2 linked regions of the Rattus norvegicus genome follow. The protein of the gene in region 2 purifies or fractionates together with the protein of the main gene of each other region. This does not show direct contact. Links are inferred from orthologs where the notes say so. Each region holds a gene or a part of one and is shown on either strand. Other genes may lie near its edges. The genes, in order: Gart and Inpp5k.

Region 1 (14,915 bases), on a different chromosome or scaffold from region 2:
CCATTTATCCAGATACTTCTTCACAGCCTGTTAAAAAAGGGGGAGGGGGAACTAGATTTCAAACATTAAATCCTGCCATAGAAATCCCCATCCGGCACTGCACTTGCAAAGCAGAGTTCATGTCTCTCAGGTCTCACTCGTCCATGCTAACAATGCAAATCTCACCCTGCCCACCACCCGGCTCTGGGAAGGAGGAGGTGTGGGGCTGCAGTGAGATCACACTGGGAGTCTGACCAGGTCACTCATGTCTCTCGGAGCAGGAAAGAACACGAACGGCACTCGCTGTGGCAAACCTCTTACCCACTGCTCCTCACCTGTAATCTCCACACCCTTGGTGTAGGCTCCAGGATACCCTCCACTCGCCATGACAACAGTTACGGCACTGTGGTTTTCTAGCCAAACAGGCGGAGACTCGCTCAGCAGGCCATCAAAGGTGGACTGAATCACTTCATAAAGGTCACTTTTAAGAAGTGGGAGGATGACCTGGAGGAAGAGTCGGGAGGTGGACCAGATGACCTTTTCATAACCTCTCCTTATCTATGGTTCCCACTCATTCCCTGGGACACTGATGGAAGAAAAGGACGCTCTCCTGAAGCGCGGGTGTGGACTACTGCTACTATGTTGTTCTGGTTATTCCTGCCAGTGTTATTACCACCACCATTGCCAAGTCTCTCTCTGGAGCCCTGGCCTCTGGAGCTCACTCTGTAGACCAGGCTGGCCTCACACTCAGAGCTCCAGCTGCCTCTGCTCCCCGAGTGTTAGGATTAAAGACATGAACCACGCTAGCCAGTACTTTATTTGTTACCCACCTGGCATTCTGGATCACCAAAACGGCAATTAAACTCCAAAACTTTTGGGCCATCTTTGGTCAGCATTATACCAGCATAAAGAATTCCTTTATTAAAAAAGAAAAAAGGAAACCAATCTGTAATGGCGTAATGACAACAGTATGTTATAACTACAAGACCTAGAGCATGAATTATTTTTTGAGATAAAGTCTCAGGCATCGCAGGCTGGCCCTGAGCTCATTCTGAGTTGAGGACAGCCTTGAACTTCTGATCCTTCTACCTCCGTATCCCAGGTGCTGGGATTACAGGTGTGCTCCACCATACCCAATTTATGGTTGTTGAGCTTCATTCATCCTAGGCAAGCATTTTACCAACTGAGCTCCAACTCTACTCCTAGAATACAAGCTTCTAATACTAAACACTGCACTGTGATTAGAGCTGTAGAAAAGAGACAACGCATTCCAGCCAAGGCACACAGGTGCTGTAAAGACATTCTGTGCAGCCTGCTTACCTGTGTACGGCACCCCCTCCTGCTGCATGCCATCTACTGTTCTCTGAAGAATTGTGTTTTTAATTTTTACTAACAAATCCTTAGGAACCTGGGGAACACACAAACATTTAGATGTAACTGTTTTGTTTTTAAAATCACTTAAGGCTGGGTGTGGCGGTGTGCTGCATTAATCCTAATACCCGGGAGGCAAGGGCAGGTAGATGGTGAGTTTGCAACCAGCCTGGTTTATATAGTTCCATGCCACCCAGGCCTATAGGAAGAACTGTCTAAAACAAAACACAAAGCCTCACACAACAGGGAAGACTCTGGAGATCAAAGTTCTCATAGTAAGGACAGGATGGTGACAAAAAAAAGGAACTAAGTCAGTGTCTACTTTCACTTTCCCTCAACCCCTTGCCAAACACATCAATCTTAAGGCCCGCCCACCTCCATCCAGTCACTATTTCACCTCAACAAGGCCTGCCCTTTCCTCAGACACAATGCTTAAATTTTCTCCCCTTCTCATGCTCCTTAGGAATCCTTCTAGTACATGCTACCCAAAATTTTAAGCCTACATATCCATGGATATGAGTTAGTATATTTAATTGAGGAAATCAGGCTTACAGACAGTTGTCTCAAGATGAATATTGCCAAAGCCCATAAAAGATGCTTGCTTTTGCTGGTTTTTTGTTTTTTGTTTTTTTTTGGAGGGGGGTCAGAGGGACAGAGCCTCCCTATGTAGCTCTGGCTGTCCTGGAGATGCTCCTGCTTCTGCCTCCAAGGTGTTGGGATAAAAGGGGTACACCACTGCTTCTGGCTAATAGAGAGTTCTTATACAAAACTGACCAGCAATTGGGGACACCGCCTCTCAGTATTAAGTAGACAGAACAGTTATGGCTTGTCCTGGATCTCAATTCTTTTTGTGTATTCTAGGCCCTGTACTGAGAGGGGAAAAGAATGATTCTGGATCTCATGGGTGTACACAAGGTGGGAGGGGACAGAGTCAGAGTTCATTTAATTCCCATTTTTTTAAATGCTAGATGGCTGTCAGTTCCTCTCAGGCTTCCCGAAGCGCTTGTTAGAGAAAGAGTCAGACCGTGGGATCAGGAGCAGCACACAGTACCTGAGGTGCAGGGCAGTAGGCTCCCATTCCTCCAGTGTTGGGTCCCCGATCTCCATCCAGCAATCGCTTATGGTCTTGTGCTGGGGGCATTGGGGCCACTGTCTTCCCATCAGTGAAGCACAGGCACTGTGGAGAAGACAGATTAGTCCAATCAGGTTAAGTTAAATGTCAAAAAGTCAAACAGGATTCTTCTGAGAGGAAAAGGTTTCATATTTGAAAAGCTTGAACAATAATTCCTAAGTCAGATGGCCTGAGCCAGAAGACCTTGGCTATCCAACCTGAAAAGGACCTGCCGTTTGTAGCAACAGGGACAAAAGGAGGTTCTACCCAAGACAAAGATCGACCTTCCTGCTGTCGAGACATCCAGCACTCATGCTATATTTAAGTTGCACATGCTGTGTAATAAGTGTATGTGAAACAAATGTACAGAACTTCCATAGTGTGATTTAAGTCCAAGTACTCCTACCAAAGCATAGACCAGTGGTTCTCAACCTGTGGGTCATGACCCCTTGAAAGGGGTCACTTATCCAATTACTTACATTGTGATTTATTAACAGTAACAAAATTACATTATGAAATAGCATAAAAATAATTTTGTTTGGGGATCACCACAACACAAGGGTTGCAGCCTACAGGGGCTGAGAGCTACTGGTGTGGGGATGATTAAAGAGAACACAAGGGTGTGCGTCCTCTGAAACTGCTGGGCTCAGGTTCCCACAGGAAGCTGCCAGGGCTAAGCAAGGTTTTTTGGTTGTGGGGCAGGGTGGTGTGTGTTAAGGGCAGGGATGGCTGTACGTACAGACACTTCTTCCCCTTCCAGAAGCTCCTCCACGACAACAGTTTCACCGGCTGCTCCAAATGACTTTTCCTAATCATAAAAATAAAAGGCCTTGTAAACTTCAAAGCTTTTAATATTTACCAAGTTGACTTATAGAACTGTCTCCTATTTGAGTTATGAAATACACGAGCATTGGAATTCTTTCTTGTGTGAAGACTTAACATGGATTTGTCTGGCCTCTCTTGAGACAGCAGGCAAGGCTCACACTGTACAGATGTGATGCACAGATCTCTTAGTTTGCTGACACAATTTCACCATCATCCTTATTTCTGAAGATGACTGTGTAGCTTTGTTCACATAAATGAGACAAAACCAAGTATGTAAAAATGGATTTCTCTAAGAGGCAACGCCATAATCATTAATGTAGATTAGCAAAGAAACATTGTATCTACCCACTGCTCTACTTTTAAGACTTGGAACACACACTTGGAATGCCTTAGTTCTCATGGACTTGGAGCGTGATCTGTAAGTCCCATGGGCTAAAGACCCTCTACCTTTCAGTAGCAGACACTATGGCGTTTAGACACTGGTGTAGCTCATGACCTGCCAGTTAAATACGGATAACCCAGGCTACAGTGTGAACTATCTTCCAGGGCTGGGCACACCCAGGGGCCACTCTGTGAAGCTGCAGCATCTACCCACACAGAGAGCCTTTCAGAAGCATCCACCCACTTGCATGATCTCCTGAACAGCTTCGCAGGCTTCAGCTTTGCTCTTCGCCACAATCACCCCCTTCCCTGCTGCAAGGCCACTGGCCTTCACAACCAAAGCAGGAAAGTCCGCGCTGTGAAGACAGGGAGCAAACAGTTAGTGCTCTGTGATTTGGAACAGTATGTTTCAGCAAAATTGAAAGGTACACAGAAAAAAATATGATGCCAGTATCATGCCAAGATTGTTTTATATATTCCTTTGTAATTTTGATCATAAAGCATGCACAATTTTGCTTTTCACATATAGTGGGGTCCCATAAGGAAGAATCTGTAAAGACATAACCAGATCTGTAGAGCAGATGGGATAATCATTAAGATACAAAGCAAAGCCTCTCAAGATACAAAGCAAAGCCTCACACTTACGTAAGGGACACTGCAGCAGGAGACCTGACTAACACTGGCAGACACCCACAGACCATTCCTAGAACACACAGCAATGGAGTGGGCTGGAGAACTAGAAGGAGGCTAGCCAAAGTAAGTAACAAAGCTGTCACTTACCCAAGGCGTGTGGGTACAGGGCAACAACAGTCAGTGTTAGGGAGATGGTAGGAGTTGGGCAGAGGGGGCATTTGTCTTTTATCCCAGCACTTGGGGGCAGAGACAGGTGAATCTCTCTGCGGCTAGCCTGGTCTACAAAGTGACAGCCAGGGCTACACAGATAGCTCTACCTTGCCTGACCACTATCTCTGGAAAACCTCATAGGATGAAGAATGAATAAAGAATGAACTAGGGTCAGTGAGGTGGCTGACCTGAGTTTGATCCCCGGAACCCACATGGTAGAAGGAGAGAACTGACTTACCAGCTACAGTCTCATTAAGTGTTGAGTTGTATGTGCACGGGCACACACACACGCACACACATGCACACACACACACACAGAGAAAGAAAGAGAGAGAGAGAGAGAGAGAGAGAGAGAAAACATGACCCAACTGAAGGTTAATGAAGGGTGGCTGGAGGGAAAGAACAAAGTGGGGAGAAAGGCATGTGCGCTCAGGGTACTCAATGCTTTCCACACATAGGAGGGAAGGGTACCTAATGGACACAGGTTTGATTCCCAGCACCTACTTGGTGGCTCAGAACTCCAGACCCAGGGCAGCTAAGCCCTCACCTCACCTTTGTGGGCACACAGTCATTCATGCAGGCAACACACCCATACACACAAAAGAAAGAAACCTTAAAAAAACAAAACAAAACAAACAAACAAACAAAAAAAAGCCTTACAAATTCAGTAACTCTGCTGGGTATGGTGGATCACACCTACTGTCCCAGCATGTGGGAAGCTGAAGCAGGGGGACTGCCATTAGTTTAAGATCATGCTGCTGCTGTGACCCATCACTGTGTTTCTGGGTTGCAGGACAACATATATTTCCTTAGAGACTTCTCAGTAGTGAAGACATCAACACACAGTCTACTACACAGGAAGCACACACAACATCCTAGGCTTTTTTCTTCTTCTCCTTTTGGTTTGAAACTGGGTCCACGTAGCCCAGGCTAGCTTTGAGCTGACCCTTCAGCTTCTACTTCCCAAATGCTAGAGAATCCCATCTTATTTTAGTGTTGAAAAAGGACACCAGTTATTGTATTGAGAGTATATTTTCATAATTAATTCAATATAAACCTGTGAAAGCCTAAGAAATAAACATTTTTTATTCTTTTTTTGTTTGTTTGTTCATTTTTCAAAACATGGTTTTTCTGTGTAGTCCTGGCGGTCTGAAACCTTACTCTGTAGACCAGGTTAGCCTCATACTCAAGAGATTCACTTGCCTCTGCCTCCCAAGTGCTGGAATTAAAGGGCTGCGCCACCGCTGCCCTGGCCTATACATTGTGTTTTTAAAGATGAAAGTGACTGTACGTTTAAGCACCATTATAAAACACCTGCCCTTTGAAGGTCATCTTTGCCCACCTCATAATAAAGCTGCAGGCGTCTTCAGGGCTGGTGAATGCCCGCCACTGTGCAGTTGGGACGCCATGTCGGTCCATAAACTCTTTGGCAAACTTTTTACTGGACTCCAGTAGAGCTGCTTGTGCCGTGGGGCCAAAGCATCGCACTCCTGCAGAAGTCAGGTCCCCAACAATCCCTACAGAAGTAGCAAACAGAAATCTAGTGATCAGGGTCTCTCTCTATAGATTTAGACTGAGTTATGATGACTAAACTCTAAGGGTTGAAAGCTCCTAATGTATTTTGTTGCAAATCCTCATCGATAAGTGATTGAGATAAAATGATCTCTAAACTTCTATGGACACTGTGTATGTTGTAAGAATGAGAAATAAAATTTACCTGCAGCCAGAGGGGCCTCTGGTCCAACAACTACGAGTTCAATCTTTTCATCTTTGCAGAACCGAGCGAGAGCAGTGTGATCATTGATGGAGACAGCTGTAAGCAGAAAATATAAATTCATACACGTGCAAAAATATCTCCAGTTAATGAAATAAGCTAACCACTATCCTTAGTAAGATAATTAAAAACCAAGTTAATTGTTGGTTTGCTTTTGTTGGTAGTTAGTAATCTCACCATGAGAGATTCCGAATAGTGCATTAGGTTAAATAAAGCTCAGTAGCAATTGAGTGATTCCCAATATTATAGTCCAACTGCCCCTGTCCCAGAGTTGGTTACAGGGTTAACAGACAAGCCCAGACAATACACTAAGAAACTTGTCTTTTAAAGATCACTCAAAGTTTACTGAAAATCCACTATGTATTAGGTTCTGTGATAGGCCCTGAGATTAAGATGTTACAACAAACTAGTATCCTCAATCTTGGGATATTAATAATACAGTGCATGAATATTAGCTAGGAACTACATAAGCAATAGCAAATGTGGACGAACTAAGCCAATCTGCTGTAAGGCAAACTGGGAGGCTGGTTCTGGTCGAGTCAGGGAGGGTCTTTGAGCTGTTTAAGCAAAGAAGGCAATGATTCTATGTAAGAAAACTCTTCTCCATGTCTAGAGAAGGCCAGGTTCTCCATCCAACACCACTGGACTCAGTTGGATTAACCAGATTAAAAGTGAGGGCACACCCACCCTCAGCTGCTGCAAATGGCACTAAATTTATGACAATCCCGGGTGATTCTGATGAGTGGGTCCCTACAACCCCAACTGCACATGCCACTCCTTGTCTCTAGACAAAGCACCACCTCAGAGAAGGAGGTATTTTATTATTATTTCTGTCTTTTCTCTAATTCTCTCCATAAATATGATGCGCCACATTGGCTACTGTGCAGACAAGGCGAAACAAGACAGGTAGGGTAAGATGAGGAAGTCGGGCTTTATCTTACGGCCAGCAACTGTTGAATGTAGTTCCGGAGCTGATCACCAATGGGACCAGAATCCACATCTGACAGCCCCGTCAACTTTCCATACATAGAAAGTGCCTTTAATCCACATTATGCACTGGTGGCCTTTTCAGTCACAGTGGTTCATAAGGCTTAAAATACACTACTTTTATTTACCTCATACAATGAGAATTCAGTTACTACCTTCAAAATGTAAACTTAGAGAGAACGCATTCAAACTTAAATAGAAATACACCTTATTAAAGGGCATACATGAGCTACTGTTTATTATCAACAGATATTAACTCCGCATTTAGAAATGTGATTACCAGCATTGGAGATCTTCCCAGCAGAAGCTGTGCCTGCATTTCCTGGGGCAACCAGCACTTGTTTGACATGAGGGGATTGTGCGAGTTTCCAGGCCAGGGTGTGTTCCCTTCCTCCACTACCGATTACAAGAACTCGGGCTGCCATTGTTGTCTCCGAAGCAGGAATTCAGAAGCCAAATGAAACCTGCAGAAAGAAAACCATAGTCAGCATCTTAGAATACGTGTATTTGAAAGACAATCTCTCTTTTTTGGTGGTGTTTTATGTTGTTAATTTTTGTGTGTGATGGGGTTTTGCCTGTATGTGTGCCTGTGTGCCACAGCTGTGTCAGGTGTCCATGGAGGCCAGAAGAGACTGTTGGATCCTCTGGGATTGGTTAGCTGATAATCGAACCCCAGACCCCTAGAAGAGCAGTCAGCACTCTTAACCACTGAGCTGCATCTCCAGCTATTCTTTTTGTTGTGAGAAAGCCATGCTATGTTGCTCAGGCCAGTCTCAAACTCACGGCAACCCCTGTTTTAGCCACCTTCCAAGTGTGGGAACTATAGGCAGGTACTGCCACGCCTAGTTGGACAAACCATAATTTATAAATAGGATTTTCACGTAATACTTGTTTTCACACGAGTGACATCCAGAAATCCATTACTTAAAGATTGGGATTTACGGTAGGACATGTTGGTGTACGCCTCTGATCCCAGTACTCGAGAGGCAGAGGCAGGCGGAGGCAGGCAGATCTGAGTTTGAGGCCTGATTGCTCTACATAGGGGCTTCCAGGATAGCCCTGGGAACACCCAAACAAACGAACAAACAAAAAACAAAAACAAACAACCCCCCCCCAAGACCTGGAAAGATGGCTCAAGGTTGCTTTTCCAGAGGATTTGGGCTCAATTCCTAACATTTGTATGGTGGCTAACAAGGGTCTACAACTCCAGATCCAGGGGACCTGACCTTCTTCGATGTCCTCCTTGGGCACAAGGTACACATACATGCAGGAAAAATACTCATAAAATAAAAAACTAAAAAAGCAGATGCCCCACCCCCAAACCTGGAGGTTAGAATTGGAAAGATGACCATCGTCATGGAAAATAGGGCGTGTGCTAAGGGGGCGGAGCCACTTACAGAGAACAAATGCCCCCATAACCATAAGCCTACACAAATAGTTTTCCTTTGTAACTTACCCACCGTAATCCCATAACAGTAAACCCAACCAACCAACCAAAAGCCTGTATACTAATACAGCACCTCATTTGACCAACCAAAAGCCTGTATATTAATACAACACCTTATCTGGCCAATCAAAAGCCTGCATACTAACACAGCACCTCATCTGAGAAACAATCTACTGACATTCCTTCTCTTGTGGACCATCTGATAGTCACCAACCCTTAGCAGGAAAATGGATTTGATGTTTGCTTATTTATTCAGGAGATGGAGCCTGCTAGCTACTTTGCTTACTCTAGATCTTAATTCCTAAGATCAAGAGATTGATTCTCTGTGCTGGCACACTCCTTTAATCCCAGCACTCAGGAGGGAGAGGCAGGTAATCTCTCACTGTGAGGCCAGACTACAGAGTGAGCTCTATGACAGCAAGGCCTACAAGCAGAGAAACCCTGACTTGAAGAAAAAACCAGACTCTCTTGTCTCAGTCTTCCAAGTAGCTAGGACAACTAGTGTTACACCCAAATTTATAAATTTAAGCCTTAATGTGGTACAGAGAACAGGAATTAACAGTATACAATTTCTCTGTCAAGGGCCAGGAAATAAATATATTTGAGGACTATCTGTGCATTGTCCAAACTATGACATTTGTATTGTAATGTTGACAGAACATTAATGTACTGTCCCTTCTAAGTGAGTGTGTATCACCCAGAAAAATGATTTATTTAAACACTGGGCAGAGGTTCTTTGCCTAATCAGCGCTCTACACAACAGCAAGCCATTATGCACAGGAGGTTCATAACTAAGCGTATTTTGGGCACTGCAACTTCAACCACTAAACCAGTTTTCCTTCAACAGTTTTCTCTTTTTGAAAGACAGAGTCTCTCTGTATCCCTGGTTGTCTGAGAACTTGCTATGCAGGTCTCAGGCCCTCAGAGAGATCCTCTGGTCTCTGCCTCGTGAGTGCTGAGATTATAAACAAGTGCCACCACATTTGGCTTCTCCCATTTGTGTTTGGTGTTTGTAAAAAAAAAAAAAAAAAAAACAAGTGGCAAAATTTTGTTTATTGTCATAAGCTTGCAGGCTTATGATTTGAGATCTTATTGGATGCTCTGGATTGGAAATATGTTAGAGAAACCAAAATCAAATATGAACATATCTCATTTGAATACAGGCATTTGCTAAAAGTTTAGTTCTTAAGAATTAACTGAGATGGCATTAAAATATTGTCTACTATAAAGTATCCTATTGCTTAGAATAAAAGTTCAAAATCTAGCACCCAAAAAAAAAAAAAAAAAAAAAAGGGAGGGGAGGGAAAGATATTATCAAGGTATTTACTTATACGGAAGATGGTTACAGAAAAAAGAAAATTGAAATCTGTAACTCCTAAATCGTTACTTTATTTTGGGATTTCATATTTAAAGAAAAAACAAGCAGACTAGCAAGGTCTGTTAAGAACACTTTGTACTTAGTTTAGTCTCCTGCACCCACAAGGTGGCCCACAAACATCCTAACTCTGGGTCCAGAGACTGAACGCCCTCTTCCGGCTTCTTTGGGGCGTTCATTGTGTGCACGTGGGCACAAACATACATCAACACTCCTTCACATAAAATAGACTTTAGTTCAACTCTATGTGTCATTTTCTTAGAGATAGCTGAAGCTATTAGACCTTAATATATAACTTGAATAAGAACAGCAGTGCAAGAAGACAATTTTCACTTACTACTCAGCATTTGTGAAACAGCAATACTGGTCTCTTTACCAGGAGAGGCTGGGGTGCCTGGGCTCCGTTGTCAACATGGCCTTACCAGTCGGGAAACCAGGAGAGACTTTTGTAACTTCTTGGGTGTCAGTTAACTAGCAGGCTATTTATAGCGAGAATAAGAGCCAGGTAAGGAGAGAGTAAAAGAGTCCGGTAAAACCACTTCCAAATATTTGTTTTAAAAGAGTAGAAATCGAGTAAGAAAATGGTCCAGGTAAACCTAGCGACAATGATAAAACCAGAGCCGATAGAAAAAGCCATTGGTGTACAGAGTTCGTCTTTAAAAGGCAGAGATACACAGAAACCTGGACCCGGCCTCAGAATTAGAAAGCTGGTAAAGTACCTGGCCGACCTCTGTCAAGGCTGTGCAAAGCACGTGGCCTTTTCGCCAGCCACGCCAAGTTTCAATAGCAGAACCGGTTGCTGAGGTTAAACCCACAGGTCAGAGCGTAAACGCAGTCCACGCATCAATTTAAAAACTAAGGGATTCACGCACCTGCAAGCCCGGCCACGCAGCTCGCATTCGCACCCGCCACTCGCACTCGCCGGAAGTTGGCCCCGGGAATCCAGCGCGCTCCGGCCTCTGCCCCGCCCCCGATGGGCTCTGCTGCTTATTGGCCGGCCCGCCTCGGTCCCCGCCCGCGAGGCGATCCGTGTGGTTCCTCCCGCCTTAGGGTGCGGTCGGAGCCCGCTGCCTACAGGGTCGAAGAATCCCTGGTTCCAGGCTTAGTGCTGACACTTGTCAGGGGGTGCCACCTAAGGTTCCTCCGTTTACCGCAGAGCCTCCTGCACTGGGGGCAGAGCCACGGCTACCTAATTGTGACCGCTAACCAAGCGCCAGGATGGACCGGCTAGGGCTGGACTCCGGATGAGTCCAAGTGCACCCCGTTTAGATCGCAGGTCGCTTGGACGCTCCAGCCTTTGCTAAAAACACGTGACGCCGGTTATAGGAAGTATCGAGACAGAATGGGGAATCGCTCCTTTCCACTTCACAGTGGGGACACGGGATGGGGGGAATTTCTTTCTCATGCAGGTCTTCCAGACCAAAGTAAACTTGGCGCTTGCAACAAACGCATCAAAGCTCCGCGCTATACAATCTGAGGCCTTTCTTGTCTCCTTTTTCTATGGTCTCTAATCTCAGGCATTTACTCGCTACGGAAAGCCTCTTAGGAGTCCCCACAGGCTGAGGGGATCAACAGCTGAAGCTGTCGCGGTCATCTCCGGGAGCGCCTTCTCCTGTAATGGCGCCTGCGTCAAACACTAACATGGCGGACTAGTTCTTGCGCGGCGCAAACGTCAGCACCTCTACCCCGGGCGGCTCAGAAACAGCGGAGGAGAGCGGGCCGGTGCTCGCTGATTGGCTCGTGGGTGGAGCGAGCCCGTGCGGACGCTCCCCCATGAGCCAATGAGGGAAGGGATAAAAGGAATTGGCCGCTGCGCCTCCTCCCGAGGCATGCTGGGAGCCTGGAGGACTAGCGAGGAGGAGTTGAGAGAACGGAGCGGACGCCATGGCGGCCGACATCGAGCAGGTTTTTAGGTCTTTCGTGGTCAGTAAATTCCGGGAAATACAACAGGAGCTTTCCAGGTAAACGCTTCTCAGACTTTTCTGCTCCTCGCGGGCTGTTAGGGCTTCGTCTATCCTCCCGTGGCATCTTTCATGAAGACGCCGTCGTTTCTCGGCTCAGGCCCCGCTACGGCCCCGCCTGGGCCTGGGATCCATTTTCCGGGCCATCCACCCTCACCCCCCCCCCCAAGCCTCCGTTCGTTCCTTTCGAGAAAGATCGCCCCTTCCGCGGTGTTCGCACACGCAGTTTCTTTCTTCGAGTTAAGATGTTCACCTTCCTCTCGTTTGGACACCCCCTACCCTCCAGCTACTCGGAGGCCCGGTGTCCACCAGGGACGGGCCTAGTTCCTTCCCCAGCTCCTCCTCCGCCGCCGCCTTTCCCCTCCCCCTCCCCGCCTCCGCGCATTTCGCCGGCCGGTGTCTATGGCCGGAAAGGGTCTCTAACGGCCGCTTCTTGGGCAATCTTAAAACTTCTTTATTATTGTACGCTTCGGAACGTTTGGCCACCGGAGTCTATTTATTAGACAGACGCTTCGGGCCCCAGTTAGTGCTCTGTGCTTTAGACCGGATAGCACTCTTTACACAGTTGTAAACTAAAACGTCTCAGTTCGATGTGAGACCCAAGAGAAAACATTCGACAGGACGACAGAAGGGGGCTTTGAAACTGTTGGGTGCTTAATTTTATTGAGTGGAAAGTGGAGAATGTGTGTGGATATGTTATTTTTCTTGCTACCCCGACTTAACGGACGGATTTGAACATCGTGCTATTTTGTCACTGCCAGTAGACTTCAGAGATTAGCCTTGGTTCTCAAAATTTCATGTTGAAGAGAGCTCCTTAGTTGTTTACTCGGGAAAATGGTGTAGGCCATGTTAGGTTTTTTAATATTGTTTTGTATAAAATGACCATTTCTTTAAAACATGGTAGGAAAGATAACTTAAAAAGTAAATATTCCGAGGTAAATTTTTTTACTTTTTTTTCTTACGAGTGGTTTAAGTTGAGAACAGAGCAATACATATACATGAGTTAGAAAAATCAGCTGATAAATAGTTGTAATTTATATGCCCAAGTTAACTAGGATTATGGATACCATAATATTAATAACAATAATTTACTGCAGAAATTGTTTTTTTTTTTTCAAGATAGGGTGTTTTTGTTTTCTATTTTCTTTTTTTCTTGTGGACAGGCACTATGTCACGGCTTACAACTTTGCCTTGTAGCTGAAACTGGCCTGTTGTCATCTTTTAATCAATGGGTGGCATCACAATTGTTTAAGTAATGTAAATATTTACCCACTATGTTGCTTTTTAGTATTTTGAGACATTGGATACTATTTTTTTAAACGACATGAAACATAAACTAAGGGAATTTAATTTTTCCTGTAAACTTTTGTTTTTTGTTTTGTTTTTTTGAGACAGGGTCTCACTAGGTCCTTCTGACTGACCTAGAATTCACTATGTATTTCAGGCTGGCCTTGAACTTTCTGGGATCTGCCTGCCTCTGCTAGGATTAAAGCCCTGTAATACCACCATTCTGAAACTCAAGCAGTCTCTCCTACTAATTGTATTTACCTTTTTGTGGGGTGGGGTTGAAGACCGGGTGTCTTTGTGTGGCTATGATTGTCCTAGAACTGTCTCTGTAGACCAGGCTAGTCTTGAACTTACAGAGATGCATCTTCCTCTGCTGGGATAAAATAAAAGGCTTGTGCCACCATGCCCTGCTAATACATTTTCTCTTCGTTTGATCATTTTGTATTGTTTTAGACAATATACTGTGTACAACTTTTCCCTTCAATGTTTACATTATTTGAGCACTTTTCATAACTACATAAATTCATTTTTAGGATATTGTTGGACAGAAAAATGGCTTGAAATTCTAACTACTTTTTAGTAACTATAATTAGCATTCTGGAGGCTTTAAGGAAAATTCTTTTTTATAGATTGATTGACTTTTTTTTTTCCTTTTTTTGAGAATGATCTCTCTGCCTCTGTTTCCCAGTGCCCTCATGCCCAGCCCTAGGTGTCTGGAGCAAACCTTTAGTCCTAGTACTCAGGAGGAGAGGCAAGAACTTCCCTGTGCCTTAGTTGTCTACAGTAGTGAGTTCCAGGCCAGACAAAACAGACCCCGTCTTTAAAAAAAAGTATGAATGCTTAGAAACAGTAAAAATTTTTGAGAGCATTAGAGGAAAAACAGCATGTTTTATGGCATAGTCAATCTACAAACATGTTTTAATTTGCCATATCAGTGAACTACTTTTCCCTATTCGCTTATTTATATATTCATCAGTATAGGTGGTGAGATTAACACAAAGTTTATTGCATATAGTTTTTTCCTCCATTTATAGAAACAATAATAGTTCTAATTGTAGAGTCTTGTTAAAATTACATGATTTTTAAAAAATAGGTTGCAGACCAGGTATGGTGATGCATGCCTTTAGTTCCAGCAGATGGGCAGTGGTGGGCAGATCTCTTGAGTTTGAGGCAGCCAAGGCTACTTAGTGAGGCCTTTGTCTTAGAAACATAGCAATAGAAAGTGACAATAGTCAGTACTTAGAAATGTTAATTATTAGCCTAACAAGGTTTGTGTGTTAGAAAACCAATCCTCACCAAAGTGTTTAGTTTCTCTAATAAAACTCTTAGCAGGTAGCAGTTTTATATGTGTTCAGGTAATAAAATTCTAATTGAAACTGAATGTGTTTTAAATATTTTTGCAAGTTTACACAAAAATAGTAAAAATATTGGCATGAATGACCTTGTTTTCTCTACAGTGATGTTGTGGTCCTGTGATCTGAAAACGAGCTGTTGGCTATTTTACTATTAGTCTAAATGAATTGCCACTGGTTCTCTGTAAATTTCTTGAATTTCAGAAATTGTTTAGTAAGCAG
Region 2 (15,343 bases):
GGCCATGTTGGTGATGTGACGATGCACACGAAACCCCTTTATTTATCCGGGCAAGCCATGTGCTTCGATGTCCTTGGCTGAGAACTCATGCATGGAGCGTGAAGAGCGCCAGTCACTGGGGGGTGCACACGTGGCGCCTGCCAGGCCAGGTGAGCCAGAACCCGCATAGCAGTCCTGGCTTCAGTCCCACTCTCACTCTTGACAGTGTCTTTTCCTGTCTTAATAAGCAGTTCAGGGACCACAGAGATAGCTCAGGGGTTTAGGGTGCTTGTTGACCTTATAGGGGACCCAGGTTCGATTCCCATCACCCACGCGGCAGCTCAGGACCATCTGTAACAACATCTCTTCTGGCCTCTGTGGTCACCAGGTATACACATAGTGTATATACATACAAGCAAGCAAAACAGTCATACATATAAAATAAAAATAATTCTAAAAATAGTAAAAATACAGTCTATTTTTATTTTGTGCCTAACTTTAAAAGGCATGGTTTCTCTTTCCATCTGCACCTGGTTCGCCAGGATCTCCAGTTTACCCTTGCTGTACTTTTCTCATAAACCCAATAAAATTGTCATTGAGCTTTGAAAATAAATGAATAGATGAAGTAGAAATTAAAACATAAGTAAGTAAATAAATGAATAAAAGCAGAGAGAAAAGCATCCTGGGCTTAGGCTTGGTCAGTTTTGCGTTGTGGTGGATTGAAGGACCTGTGAGAGAAGAGAAGTGGTATCATTTATTCATACTTGTTGTTTCTGCGTGGTGCACACAGGCACATGTTCTCCCCTGTTGGCAGGATTGAGAAGGCGGATGCACTCATGGTGGAGTTCCATCAACAACAAAAGCTTTTAATTTCCTTCTGCTTTTTCTGTTCCAGATGAGACAAAAGGACCCCGTGAAAGGAATGACAGCAGATGACTAGCGCTACCGCCCTTTCTGCACTGTATGTACTGAGTCTTCCTCAGTGGGCTTGGGTCCTCAAGGCCAGCAGTTCCCTGTGGAATGAGAAAATCTACTTTGTTCCTAATCCTGTACTCTAGGAGCAGCAGTCACTGTCACTGCTGTGCTAACGAGGGGGTTCCTGGGTTTCCACAGAAAGGAGTTATGGTCACTGTTTATTTTGGGGGTGTTTTTTATAGAGGCCCATGCAGACAGACATGGGCAGGTAATGAGTGGAGGAGGTGTGCCTTGTGAGGAGTGGATGTGCAGTGTGAGGGGTGGAGGAGGAGTGCAGTGTGAGAGTGGAGGTGGTGTGCAGTGTGAGAGTGGAGGAGGAGTGCAGTGTGAGAGTGGAGGTGGAGTGCAGTGTGAGGAGTGGAGGAGAAGTGCAGTGTGAAAGTGGAGGAGGAGTGCAGTGTGAGAGTGGAGGAGGAGTGCAGTGTGAGAGTGGAGGAGGAGTGCAGTGTGAGAGTGGAGGAGGAGTGCAGTGTGAGAGTGGAGGAGGAGTGCAGTGTGAGAGTGGAGGAGGAGTGCAGTGTGAGAGTGGAGGAGGAGTGCAGTGTGAGGGGTGGAGGAGAAGTGCAGTGTGAAAGTGGAGGAGGAGTGCAGTGTGAGAGTGGAGGAGGAGTGCAGTGTGAGAGTGGAGGAGGAGTGCAGTGTGAGAGTGGAGGAGGAGTGCAGTGTGAGAGTGGAGGAGGAGTGCAGTGTGAGAGTGGAGGAGGAGTGCAGTGTGAGAGTGGAGGAGGAGTGCAGTGTGAGAGTGGAGGAGGTGTGCAGTGTGAGGAGTGGAGGAGGAGTGCAGTGTGAGAGTGGAGGAGGAGTGCAGTGTGAGAGTGGAGGAGGAGTGCAGTGTGAGAGTGGAGGAGGAGTGCATTGTGAGAGTGGAGGAGGAGTGCAGTGTGAGAGTGGAGGTGGTTTGCAGTGTGAGAGTGGAGGAGGTGTGCAGTGTGAGATTGGAGGAGGAGTGCAGTGTGAGAGTGGAGGAGGAGTGCAGTGTGAGAGTGGAGGAGGAGTGCAGTGTGAGAGTGGAGGTGGAGTGCAGTGTGAGTGGAGGAGGTGTGCAGTGTGAGAGTGGAGGAGGTGTGCAGTGTGAGAGTGGAGGAGGAGTGCAGTGTGAGGAGTGGAGGTGGAGTGCAGTGTGAGAGTGGAGGAGGAGTGCAGTGTGAGAGTGGAGGAGGAGTGCAGTGTGAGAGTGGAGGAGGAGTGCAGTGTGAGAGTGGAGGAGGAGTGCAGTGTGAGAGTGGAGGAGGAGTGCAGTGTGAGAGTGGAGGAGGTGTGCAGTGTGAGAGTGGAGGTGGAGTGCAGTGTGAGAGTGGAGGTGGAGTGCAGTGTGAGAGTGGAGGAGGAGTGCAGTGTGAGAGTGGAGGAGGAGTGCAGTGTGAGAGTGGAGGTGGAGTGCAGTGTGAGAGTGGAGGAGGAGTGCAGTGTGAGAGTGGAGGTGGTGGTGTGCAGTGGGGTGATGTACACTGCCACTAAGCACTCCTCCTCACTTGCTACCAGCTCTTTCAAGCTGGCATGCTAGAGCACTTCCTAGGCTCACACCAGTGTCAACTCTTGACTCCCTAACACTGGCATTTTCTACCATCCCTTGGAAAAGGAGCTGGACAGCTTTTAGCACTCAGCACATCTGATACCCTCCTGGTGCTAGCATACTAAGTAACTCTGCCTTCAACAAAGGCAGCATCCTCCAGGTGCTGGAAGACTTTTTTATCCAGGTCATAGGGCTAAGTTGGGTGTCCCTTGTTTTACCTGTCATTCTTCCCCAAGGCCTCTCCTTCTGTTAGTTCTCAAAGCTAGCACTTCTTCAGTGTGTACTTGTATACAGTATACAGAGTAACCTATTTACTTGAAGACTCATCCTGCAGCACAGAGTGAGGTACCTGACTCTGCCCCCATTTAGGTGGCGAGGAAATTATTTGCTCAAAGAGCACCCTCTAGCACCAAGAGGCCAAGGAAACCTAGGTAGGACCTTTTTGTTCTTTGGCTTTCTCATGGTTCTTTTTTTCCAGTGCTGGGTCAAACCCAGGGCTGTGTGAGTGCTAGCTAGGCAAGCACTGTGTCCACAGCCTAACCCGTGTTCTTAAGCAGCTTCTGGGAGATGGAAGGGGAGGATTAAGCAGATGCCAGTAGTCAGTGTAGTCAGTGCCAGAACATTAGTACCCTCTCTCCAAGGCCCCCACCAACTGGCACCCTTCCTCCTGGAATTTCTCCACTTGTCATGATTTACTGTGTTCTTGTGTTTTCCCTCGTTGCTTTCTTAATAATTTCTATTTCTCTTCTAGTTTTGCAAGACAGTGGTCCACAGGAAGGCCCAGCAGCTCCACCCTCCTGAGTGGCAGGCCATCTTTGGACGCAGCCTTTCTGTGCTCATTCTTCAGGCAACTTTCAGTCCCTTACTATAGCTATTTCTAGATGCCCTTTAACATTGTGAACAAATAGACCGTCTGGTATTATAAAGCCTGTGTGTGCGGGAGCCTGATCCTCTAAGATATATGGTGTATGCTGCTGTATTTACAGCTCATCCTCTCTCCATTGTGCCCTGACCCATTTCTGTATGCCCTCCCCCTTTATTTCCAAGTGACGTTCTCATTCTTTCAAATGTGCTGCCTTTGTGATGTGATTATTTAAGCTCACTTATTTCAGCCTTGGGATAAGCTGAGCTATTTTGCTTCCTGGGCAGATCTTTGGCAATGTTGAATATTCACTTGGGGAGAGAGGAGGAGTTAAAAATACAGAGACACCTACCCTAGCTCCTCACAATAGGAATGTGGCTTCAGAACCCTGACCTCTGCTCCTAGTAACCTCTTGTTCGCGTGCTCTAAGCACCAAGAAGGCACCCAAGGCCCAGCCAGTCTAAGAAAATTTAGCAAATAATAAATAACCCCTACTCGAGTCATTGCATCTCTGGTTAATATTTTTAGAACTCTTGGCTTCTCAGCCCTCCTGTTGCCCACGCTGAATCTCCTTGCAGAGCCTACGAGAACCCACCACTGCCCAGCTGGAGAACTGTCCAGTGTGGCCCATAGACACCAATCAGACCCCCGGGGAGCTCTGTCTGTCCATGCTCCTCTTCCCTTTCGGGCTGGTGCTGCCACTCAGCAATAACCCTCTCTGTGCTTTCTTAGGCCCCTGTCCTCTCGGAGGCTGGTTAGGGTGCAAGAGTCCTGGTCTTTTCATGCTGCACAAAACAAGCATGCAAAAAGCTCTTATCCCTAGCAAAACATACACCTTCCTGTCTCTAATTACTGGACAGGAATTTGCAGATCAAGAACTCAGCTCATCCTGCCCCATACTGAGTTCTGTCTTAGACAATCAAAATCAAGCAGTGAGTGTAGCCTAGAACACTTACACCGTAGGCTGGTGAGTGACTGTAGCCTGGAACGCTGACCACAGGAGGCTGGTGAAGCCCAGGCTCCAGGAGAGAAGAAGCTGCAGAGCACTTCCTAGTTCTAGATTGGCAGGAGCTGAGTATGCCTTTCTGGTGGGAGAGTGGGATATAGTTGTGTCACCTGACATTTCCCAAGCCTTGTTCAGTCAGCCCAGTGTGTAGTGATCCAAGCCCATGCTAGCCAGGGTACCTGTTAGAGACCAAATCTCTGCTAGGGGAGTGAGAAGTAGGATGGATCGTTCTCCTTGTCTTTGTCAGTGTTTGCCTTACTCATTTCTAAGTGCAATAAGGCAGTGAGTGTCTCAAGGGACTGCACCTGTGACATCCTGACTGGACGCTTCCCTGTGGTCCTCCTGCAGCAAGGGTAGACAGATTTGGGCCCCTCAGCATGGTTAGCTCTGACCTTCCTTGAGGTTCTTTTAAGACCAGGAGATGTCCTTTACAGAAACCTTCCTCTGTATTAGTCTCCTCACCTTGTGGAGTCTTTTTTTGGTTCTTTTTTTCGGAGCTGGGGACCGAACCCAGGGCCTTGCGCTTCCTAGGCAAGCGCTCTACCACTGAGCTAAATCCCCAACCCCACCTTGTGGAGTCTTTAGGAATGTACTTGGGGCGTCTTGGTTGGTGATTAGCATATCACCTGCTAGTAGCATGGGAAAGTTGGAGAAGAGGCAGGCATTCCTAATGGAGAAAAATATAAATGTGCTCATATAAGCTCTGTATTACCTGTCAAATCATATTTGTGCTTAAAGATTTTCCTTCAGTAACTAAGTTGAAGCCCAGATGTGAGTTATCTTGAGAGAAGTTGATACTCTAAGCAGATAGTTGTTTACATGGTGTGAGGCTCAAAAGATGTTTGTCTCCTTCAGCACTTCATGAGATCCATACATATCAGTCACATCAGCCTCAGTCCAGGCCTGCTCTTACCTGCCTGTGCCCCTGCTGTTGCCCATGTTTGAAAGCATCCAAATGATCCGAACTACAATTTCCTGAGACCAGCCTGGATCTAGGGCTCCTGCCTACATAAACACAAAGGAGGGATATCCCTGTCTGTTCCAGCCCCATGGCTGGTGTTGCTGCTGGGCACATGTTGGCTTTTAACTTCTCCCCTTCCTTTACCTCCCCCCAAAATTGACTAGCACTCAGAGGGCTGGTGATGAAAGGCTCAGTCTTGTGATAATCCTGAAAGTGTGCCACGCCTCTTCAGACTGGCTGCTTCCATTACATTTCCAGGTCTGACTTACTCCCAAAGGGAGCAGCAGTACCTCTGCACAAGGCCTGCTGGGCTCCAGCCTTCTTGTGGAGAGACACTGGGGAGGGACAGGACAGGTCACTGTTGTGGGCATGTGTGTATCCTTCCACATTCTCCTTTTACAGGCCCTGCTGGGACCTCTGACTTTCTTGGGTTGGTTCTTAGTGCTACTTCTTTTACAGACTACACTTTATAGAACTAATTAGATTACCTGTTTATTTAATGTGAGTTTGTGCCTTTTTGTCTCAATCTTCCAATACAGGTATATTGGGGAAAAAAAGCAGTCTAATAAAATCCTAGACAGAGTTTTTTTGGAGTCCAGCTTATTGGTGATATTCCTATGTCCATTTTTCAACTTAGATACCCTTAAAGTTCCTACTGATGTCTCCCCACTTTATTTACCAGGAGAGGATTATGAAAAGATACAGTGGTGTTTCTGACATTTTATGTAAATAAAGTATTCCTTGTCCAAAAAAGTCAATTCCAGTATGGATTCGGGCTGGGGGTGTAATGTAATTCAGTGATAGTATTTACCTAACAGGCATGAAAAAAAGTCACATTAAAAAAGTCCCTTGTCAGTTCAGCTTTCTTATGCAGCAATGCATATCTCAACAGTCACTTTTGCTTTTGTCTCTCTTACTCTACTAAGTAATACATTTATTTATTTACTTATTTATTATGATTTGTTTATTTTATGAGTACACTATCACTGTCTTCAGACATACCAGAAGAGGGCATCAGATCCCATTACAGATGGTTGTGAGCCACCTTGTGGTTGCTGGGAATTGAACTCAGGACCTCTGGAAGAACAGTTTAACCACTCTTAACCACTGAGCCATCTCTCCAGCTCGCTCTTTCTTCCTTCCTTCCTTCCTCTCTTTCTTTCTTTCTTTCTTTCTTTCTTTCTTTCTTTCTTTCTTTCTTTTTCTTCCTTCCTTCCTTCCTTCCTTCCTTCCTTCCTTCTTTCTTTAAGTCATGGACTTAAAATACTTCATTATTTTCAGGGCAAAAACAGCAAGACAAGCAAGATGTAAATTTGGCAACTGCCTGGAAGAACTCTCCCTTTTGAGCAGCTGCATGGTGAAGAGGTTGGGTGGGTAGAAAGAATGAAAAAGCCCAAAGCATTCTAAAAAGAAAAAAAATTAAACTTTGAGGGCTAGAGAGATGGCTCAGCACTTAAGAGCATGTACTGTTCTTCTAGAGGACCTGAGTTCAGTTCCTACCACCTACATCACAGTTTACAACTGCCTGTAACTCCAGCTCCAGGGGAATCTGAAGCTTCAAGTCTCCACAGTCACCTGCACTCTGGTGTACACACACACACACACACACACACACACACACACACACACACAGCTTGGCCTGGTGTACACACACACACACACACACACACACACACAGCTTGGCCTAAAAGAGAATACTAGACGAGGTTTGTTAATTTCACTACAAGTGGGCAAGATTAATTCCACTGGTATGCTTGATACCCAGAGGGGAAAAGTAATTCCTTGCAACTGGAGTTAGAATGGTTATGAGCCACCATGTGGGTGATGGGAACCAAACCCGAAGTCAGTCATCAGTAACTGCTCTTTACCTCTGAGCCCTCTTCAGCCCTTTCAGTTTTCCTTATTACTGTGTTTATGGCTACATGCAGGAATCAAAGGACAACTTTGAGTGATTCTTGTCTTCCCTCCAGGGGTAAAGCTCAGGTGGTTAGAGTTGGTAGCAGAGGTTGTCCCCTCCTTAATTTTGAGAACGAATCACAGCAGTTCTAATGGCCTGTAAGCTGAAGATAGCCCAAACTGGACTCAAACTTGGGAGTAGTCATACAGTCAAAACAGTTTTTGGAAATACATCACTACACCTGGTTCCAGAACATATAAAGTAGCGGGGTGTTTGTGGATTCTTGAGACAAGGCATCACTGAGTAGCTGGTACTACAGTTGTGCTAAAAGGTAGAAATCACTAACTTAGCTTTCAAGCGTTGAATTTTATGTTAAAACTCCATTTCCTTAGGGAAGTCATAATTATAAAAACCATCCTATGCACAATCCCTCCGCCCTCAAAAATAAAGACCCAAAAATCTAAAGGAAATAATAAACCGAAGTGTCTGGCAAAGTAAATAATCATAAATATACGCCAAATAGCAACGAATTGTTTTCATTCACTGATGGCTCTCTGGAATTTTTTTTTTTTTTTTTTTTTGCTTTGTATTCAACAAAATTAGTTTCGAGTTTGGCGTGGTGGTGTAATCTCGGCTGAGGTGGGAGAATCAGCTTGGTGTGCATAACAAGCCCCAGGACTAAAAAGCAAGATTGTCTCAGATGAAAAAAAAAACCCCTCAAACGACGACCACTGAGTCACTTAAAAGAATGAAGTGCTCTGAGACCCCCTATGGGGGCGCCAAGGAACTTGAGATATTACTTGTGGTGTGGGCGAGGGAGGCCGAACAGATTACAGTGAGCCTCCGGGTCCCGACCACTCCCGGCTTCTGAAGGTGGGTAGGCGGCAGGGAAGACCGTACACCGCGGGACCGCGAACCAGTCCGAGTCCGGGAGCCACGGCAACTTCCGCCCGCGCCCTCGCGCAAAGCAGACTGGGAGTACCGGGCCTGGGCGGCCGCGCCACCACCCACTCGCACGTCGGTGCGGGCGGTGTGGCGTCGGGGGTGGATGACACGTTGGACACGCCTCTGGGGTGGGGGGCGGTCTTCACTCCGCCTCTGGGCTATAGAGTCCCGCCTCTGTTCCCCAACCGCACCCCAAAGCCCTAGACGTTCAGAATCCACCTCCTACGGAAGCCGAAGCGCAGTCAGAATCCGGAAGAAAAACAATCCGGAGGGAGCTGTGCTGCTGAGACCGGAGACCAAGGGCTGCTCCGGCTCGCAGTAGCTGCAGCGCTGAGACACGAACCTACAGCATTACCACGAAGGAATAATGACGACTGCGAGTCTAAGGAAGCCGAGCGCACCAAAAGAGCTTATGCTCAGGTGAGAACACAGGTGTTGGCTGGTAGGTTCCTGGCGGTTAGCTGTCTTCAGCCCAGTCTGATTTATGGGGCTGGGTTTCAAAACCACAGTGGGATCAAGGCTGCCCTAGTTTAGACACCCAGATTCTGTCAGGCCAGTATGTAGGCTATGTATGCTAGGACTGATGCACGCTCTAAACTTGGGCTGCCGAGTTGGTCACTGCAGATGCTCCCAAGCAAGTGTCCAGTTGTTTTTTTGGAGCACACAGGTTTAGACTGCTAAGGACCAACATTCTCCTCTTCAGCTGTAGATTAGAAGTTTTGTTCCTACTTTTCAGCAGTCCATCATGGGGTCTTCTTGATCCGGCTGTGATCTCTAGAAATCCGAAATCAGATTTAGATAAGATCCTTTAGCGAGGTGAAACCTGGTCTCATGCTTGCTCTTTAATCACGAGGAACACCGCTAATCGTCCAATAAATCACGGTGCATGGATTTGTTACTAATCATTAAAACTGAAAATTGGGATGACAAATCCCGAGTTCTAGTCTTTATCCACTTAGAGTTCCTGGGAATACAAGGAGCCATTGAGTAAAAGGGTTACCTGCCGTAGTCCTCTGCTAGACAGCAGGGGGAGACTGTAACCAGACGAAGTAACAGGAGGGCTTGAGAAGCGGTTTTTTTAGTATTTTATCTTCACGGGGAGAGCCAGGGAGCTGCCTTAAGCTAGCCAAGAATTTTTTTTGTTTTGTTTTGTTTACAATTCATGCTTTAAGACCACATACCTCTGAGAACAGGATCTGGTGGAGAGGAGATGTTTTAGAATAGCCTGCCCTGTCCTTTCTGGGTGGATCTTGAGGGTCTTATGCTTCAGTGCCTCAGTATTCCTGGAACTCACAGGTTTCATCTCTGTATAGGCTGAGTTCCTGCTTGCTCTGTCCCAGAGACAGTCTGGGCTTCTTGGGCTGTTGCTATAGCAACACCCTCGCTGAAGGCTTCTATAAGTCTTTGCCTTTTTTTGAGCTTCTGATGGTATTTAAGAACTGCTAATTATTTTTCCTGATATTGAGACTTGTAAAGAGCAGAAATTGGAATGTTATGTTCCAACTGATGACTTTTCTCAATAGAGAGTAGACTCTTGAGACAGATATTAAGAAACCTGTTACTCAGAAACTTGTACCTAGGCTCAATGAAGGCCTTAGCAGAGTTTGTTGTGCTCCAAGGATCTGCAAGGTAAGAGTGAGGAAGGGAATATGCTGTCAACTTTGTTCTTTCTGAATTCCTGTTCTCAGAGCTCTGAAGCATGCGGTCATGTACAGTCAACCTCTAACTCCTTCCTGGTGCTCTTCGGAACCCATAGGTTAAGGAGTGGGCATTCAGAGTTGCTGCCTGAGCCATAAAGGATGAGTGAGGTGTAGGGGCTGATGGGCTAATAGGTTCCTGTCTATCAAACTCATCATCCTCTCCTTCTGGCCAATGGCTTTTGAGCTCCCCTGGGCAGCTCTGTGTCAGGTACTGCCAGGTAACTGTAGACCTTCCTAGAAGAGCCAGTTCACGGGAAGAGGTTCCTGCTTTCGGGACAGAGAAGGGAAGGTAAAAGCTGTGTAGTCCATCACTCCTGTTCCTCTTTTCCTACCACAAGACGCACAAACAAGTTGAACATAGTACTACACAACTTTAATCTCAGAATTTAGGAAGCAGAAGAAGACTGATCTCTATCTAAGGCGTTTGAGGCCAGCCAGGGCTGCATAGTAAGACACAGCCTGAAAAAACAAAAAACAAAAAACAAAAAAAAACCAAAATCCATGAAACAAACATGCCGACACATTTCCAATGATCACTGTAGTGGAAGCCTTAAACGTGTCTAGGTCTCTGCCCATTATCTGGAAAAATCTTAGCTTCCATTCTCCGTGACTTAACATCCTCTCCACAGCATACACGTTGTAACATGGAATGTGGCCTCTGCAGCCCCCACTGTGGACCTCAGTGACCTACTTCAACTGAACAACGAAGACCTGAATCTGGACATATATATCATTGGGTAGGTGTCTAGGGGGCCCCACCCCCATCCCTGTAGAGGACTAATGTAACTTGTCCTCCCTCATTTTGGAGTCTGAAGGTCTTGTTTTGAGCTTTCATCCTCAGTGGGTCCTGTCTTGTGTTTCTTGTCCTGGGTCAGCAATGGTCATGGATAGAAGGGCAGCAGCCACACAGCTGGGGAAGGGAGACCTCTTGGTTTTCAGAACCCAGGTCTGATGCTATGTGTGGGAGAGGCAGTGTCCTCCAGGCCAGGGATGAGCCTCTGGCTTGGAATGGTCAGTTTGCAGGAAATGAATTATGGGATCATAAGCCTTCTTTCTGATGCTGCCTTTGAGGACCCATGGAGCAGTTTCTTCATGGATATGCTTTCTCCACTGAACCTTGTCAAGGTAAGCTAAGTTTACAGGCAATGGAGGAATGTGTGTCACCTACTCTGACTCTAATTGCTTGTCCGATAGGTTTCCCTTTCTCCCTTTCAGCTAACCATTTGTCTGATGCATTCCTCTTTCTCCACTCAGCGTTTCATGTTCTTTCCCATTCATTAAAGGTTTAACCCTCACATACTACACTTGGCTCCCTGGAACTCCTGCCTTCCTCATGCTGTCCCAGTGTGCCTGGGTCTGAGCTATGAGTCCAGGGGTCAGTTTCACACCTAGGTATTTCTCACCTTGGGAGAATTCCTAGTGGTAATGCATCAGGGCTTTTCAATATCTCAGTGCTCACTCCTGTCCTACCCTCTGGTCTCTTCTTACTGCCCAGCATGAAATCTCTGGAGTATAGTACTTGCTACAATTTATGGAGTGTTGATTTGATGTTAAGCATTATAAGTAAGCTCTTGGTGTGTGTTATTTTTCAGTCTTAACTCTCGAGATAGAAATACTTTACAGATAAACCCAAAGCTAAGAAATCACATGGGCTCTCTAGAATCCGAATCCAGATTTTTCACGTCTCTGGCTTTTGTTCTAAACTATCATATTTTATTGCTCTGCTTATGTATGCTAAGACTGACAGGTAATTCCAAAGCTAACCTGCTGATATCACAGAGAACATGGATATCAAGTTCTGAGGGGCTCAGAAGTTGGAAGAGGGGAAGACAGGTGTAGTGCAAAGTGGTTCTTAGTCTGAGGGACCAGTGCACTTTGGGGACTTCGGGGATTCATTAGACCATAGCAGACTGACTGGAAGGTTTTAGGCCCCTGGGTTTTTTGTTTTTTTGTTTTTTTTTTTTTTTGGTTCTTTTTTTCGGAGCTGGGGACCGAACCCAGGGCCTTGCGCTTCCTAGGTAAGCGCTCTACCACTGAGCTAAATCCCCAGCCCCAGGCCCCTGGGTTTTATTTCTGCCCTGTACCCACAATGAATGAACCAACTCCTTTTTTTTTTTTCCAGAGCTGGGGACCTAACCCAGGGCCTTGCGCTTGCTAGGCAAGCACTCTACTACTGAGCTAAATCCCCAACCCCATGAACCAACTCCTAATCAGAGTATCTAGTTCACAGCTTCTTGGAAATACCAGAATTCTTTTGTTCCCTTTCTAGGATGAGTTTTATTCTTCAGTAGAAATTCAGTTACCTGGTTTGCCCAGGGATATTGAAGCAAGAGCTGTGTGGCTCTGAGAAAGAGAAATGCAAGACTTGGTTCTCCTGAGGCTGGGTAGTGTCAACCCCAGAACCCTTAGGTTTCCCACAGAACAAACTGAGATGCCTCTTCTAGAAGACTTGGAGCTATTCATGGAGGGAAGAACCTCCTGTCCCAAAACTCATTTCTTCCTAAGATTCCGTGACTCCTTGTGCCTTGACAAATTGGCAAGGGATTGGTAGGATGGAATGGAGCCACCCTACCAACTTAGCTCAACTTGTGTCAGGGCCCAACCCATTCCACTCATGTGGCCTCCTAAAATTGAGGTCTAGGAACACAAAGCATATGTCTCTCCTTTCCTTAGCCAAATAGATGGGCAAACCCTATTTATAGCTGGTTCCTTGTGGGGATTTACCAGCTGTTGTGAATTCAGAGGACCCTTTTTGGCAGTCCAGTGTCTAGTCACCTCCTGCCAGTCCCCACAGCTCCTTCAATTTAGTTTCTTCGCACTGGAACTTTCCCTGGAAGGCTCTAGTTTTTCCTCACAACCCCCCCCCCCCCATTCTCCCAGTCTCACACTCCCTGCCCTGTTCCCTGCTTCCTGCTGCTCTCTCACCAAGTGCACTGGTCTTTGTGCGAAAGCCCAGTGGCCCAAACCTGCTATGTTAGTTAGGATTAAATGTAACTCCACTCCTGAATCTTATCTGTTTCTTGGTTTCTGTCCTGACCCTGGGATTTCGTCCCTCATAAAATAACTCTGCCCAGATTTCTATTGTCATAGATAGTTGTGAATGGGAGAAATAGAAAACTATAGCTCAGTGGTAGAGCCTATATAGGTTTAAGTCCTGTTACAAAAACAAAAACAAAAAATTAAGACGACTTAGAGAGTAGGTTAGTATTACATATGTAGCAACCCAGAGGGCTCAGGCTCCAGAACCTCCCTTGCTCAGTACTGAGTTTGGGGACCTCCCTACTTTGACTCTTTTGCAGTGCTGGGGCTGCCCTTGGATTGGGGGATCAGGTTTCATAATTCCTGGAAGGCACCAGTACAGCTCCCCACCCGGAGATTTCCTCCTTGGCCTTTGCACCTCATGCTCCGGAAACAGCTACTGGAGTGGTGGACAATCCAGCCCTGAGAAAGAGGGTCACTAGGGGTGGGCTTTTCCCACCCCACCTCTGCAGTCACTAGTAGTAGGCATTTGGCAATCCCCAAACCATCTTCCTAGTTCCTCTGCCTCCCAGAATCTCAATGCTGCACAAGCAAGCTAGGGAGCAAGCTAGGAACAGTGATTCGTGACAGCTGGGGGAAAGCTTGGCCTCTCCTGGGTGTTAGCTACTTTCCCCTCCAGAGCCTCCATGCTCAACACTTACTTCATGTGCACTGCCCTGGTGGACATTCAGCCAGAGTCTGAAGTTATTTACTTTTTTGCAACTGTGTCTCATAGACTGGCTTTAAACTCCTTATTCTCCTGCCTCTACCCCCTGAGCAGTAGGATTACAGGCATATGCCATCATGCCTAACTTTCTAGTTATCACACCACACACACACACACACACACACACACACACACACACACACACACACACACACCAATTTAAATGGTACTGTTTTACTGGGCTAGAACATGTATAGAAAAGTATTCAGATGCTTACCCAGCATGCATAGAGTTCTGAAATTGGTCCTCAGCATTAGGAATGGGTGTAGTAAGTAGGTGTAGAGTCAGTTAATTCTTGCATTTGAATTGCTATCAGTCAACTCAAGATTCAGAACTGCACCCTAAAAGTGTCTCTCTTGTTCTTGCTTATGTTGAAGAGTCCCTAAGCCAAAGTGGGTATGGGAGCACATACCTGTAATCCCAGCACTCAAGAGGCTAAGGCAGGAGGATTGGCAGTTAAAGATCTACCTGGGGGGTTGGGGATTTGGCTCAGTGGTAGAGCGCTTGCCTAGGAAGCGCAAGGTCCTGGGTTCAATCCCCAGCCCCCAAAAAAAGAAAAGAAAAAAAAAAGATCTACCTGGGACACCTAGCAAGACCTTGTATCAAAAGGGGAGTAGGGTGGAGAGATGTCTCAGTGGGTTAGGACACTTGTTGCAATGGCTTCTCCAGGAGTTTGGATCCCAGCACCCATATATGAGCACTATGGGGGAGTGGAGAGAGGAGACTCACTGGGTTTACTGGCCACCAGCCTAGCTCCAGGGTGAGTGAGGGATCCTGTTCCAAAGGAACAAGGTGGAAATTGATAGAACAGAACACCCAATAACCTCCACAATGCTCACCTACACACAGATATACACTGAACCAAAAAAATAACACCTTCATGTAGGCATGGTGTTATCCTGCTTCATTCGATGGGAAGAGAGGCTAAAAGATGTGGAAGTCTCCAGGGCTCTTAGGACAGCATATGTAAGAGAAGCAGCTCCATGGCCATGGGCTGGCTGGGCAAGCAGTGCCTTTCTAGTGGCGAGCTGCCCTGGAAGCCCCCTGGAACACATTGTTTGCAGTTCAGAGGAAAAAAGGAAAAAGCTGAAATTTAGACTTAAACTGGGCTCCATAGACTTTCAGGCAGGGATTTGCATGTGGTTTCAGACTCTTAAAAGTCCCTAGTTGGGCTTAGTAGGGATGCAATTGGCCTTCGCAGTTTAATAAATGACCTTTGCCCTTCGATGCAGATCTCTCAAGTCCGTATGCAGGGGCTTCTCTTACTGGTCTTTGCCAAGTATCAGCATTTGCCCTACATCCAGATCATCTCTACAAAATCCATTCCTACTGGCCTCTACGGGTACTGGGTAAGGACTGAGCTCTGGTCTGAGACTTGAGCTAACAAGGGACGCTTTGCAAAGCTAAGCAAAACAGGGGAAGTCAACTGAGTCTGCATATTCTGTGTAGCCTAGGACCCTGCATACCCACCCCCATAACCCACCCCACACCCTGCCATCCCAGCAGGGCCTGGATATTCCTGAGATCCTAGATTTGGGTATTGAGCTTTGTGCATGGAAGAATTAGCTGGGAAGCTGTGTGTCTATGGCTGAAATCCTGGGGGAGGTAAGACAGCCTCTCCTCAGACCCAGCGTGGGAAAAGAGGGGTATGTATACAATCCAGAGTCTCTCCCCACCCTTCTTCCCACCTTTCCTACCAGGGGAACAAAGGGGGAATCAACATCTGTCTGAAGCTTTACGGCTACTATGTCAGCATCGTC

Evidence for each region.
Region 1: the proteins of Inpp5k (region 2) and Gart purify together in Homo sapiens (co-immunoprecipitation; 3 studies listed by BioGRID and IntAct, counting the BioPlex papers as one, with this or other methods). This does not show direct contact. The link is inferred for Rattus norvegicus from reciprocal best matches to the Homo sapiens genes INPP5K and GART.

What each region holds. Positions count from the first base shown.
Region 1 is NC_086029.1:44,366,052-44,380,966, forward strand, and holds the start of Gart (trifunctional purine biosynthetic protein adenosine-3), read right to left. Parts: upstream 11,036-14,915; 5' UTR 10,966-11,035; intron 10,950-10,965; exon of another isoform or gene 10,813-10,949; intron 7,736-10,812; 5' UTR 7,697-7,735; coding exon 7,552-7,696; intron 6,324-7,551; coding exon 6,228-6,323; intron 6,028-6,227; coding exon 5,853-6,027; intron 4,024-5,852; coding exon 3,912-4,023; intron 3,270-3,911; coding exon 3,201-3,269; intron 2,528-3,200; coding exon 2,402-2,527; intron 1,388-2,401; coding exon 1,300-1,387; intron 896-1,299; coding exon 810-895; intron 484-809; coding exon 315-483; intron 1-314. Other genes in the region: protein SON, read left to right, coding at 11,978-12,054. UniProt on the Homo sapiens protein: Trifunctional enzyme that catalyzes three distinct reactions as part of the 'de novo' inosine monophosphate biosynthetic pathway.
Region 2 is NC_086028.1:60,965,788-60,981,130, forward strand, and holds the start of Inpp5k (inositol polyphosphate 5-phosphatase K), read left to right. Parts: upstream 1-8,395; 5' UTR 8,396-8,505; coding exon 8,506-8,558; intron 8,559-10,467; coding exon 10,468-10,575; intron 10,576-10,854; coding exon 10,855-10,963; intron 10,964-14,815; coding exon 14,816-14,932; intron 14,933-15,283; coding exon 15,284-15,343. Other genes in the region: Pitpna (phosphatidylinositol transfer protein alpha isoform), read left to right, coding at 875-919. UniProt on the Homo sapiens protein: Inositol 5-phosphatase which acts on inositol 1,4,5-trisphosphate, inositol 1,3,4,5-tetrakisphosphate, phosphatidylinositol 4,5-bisphosphate and phosphatidylinositol 3,4,5-trisphosphate.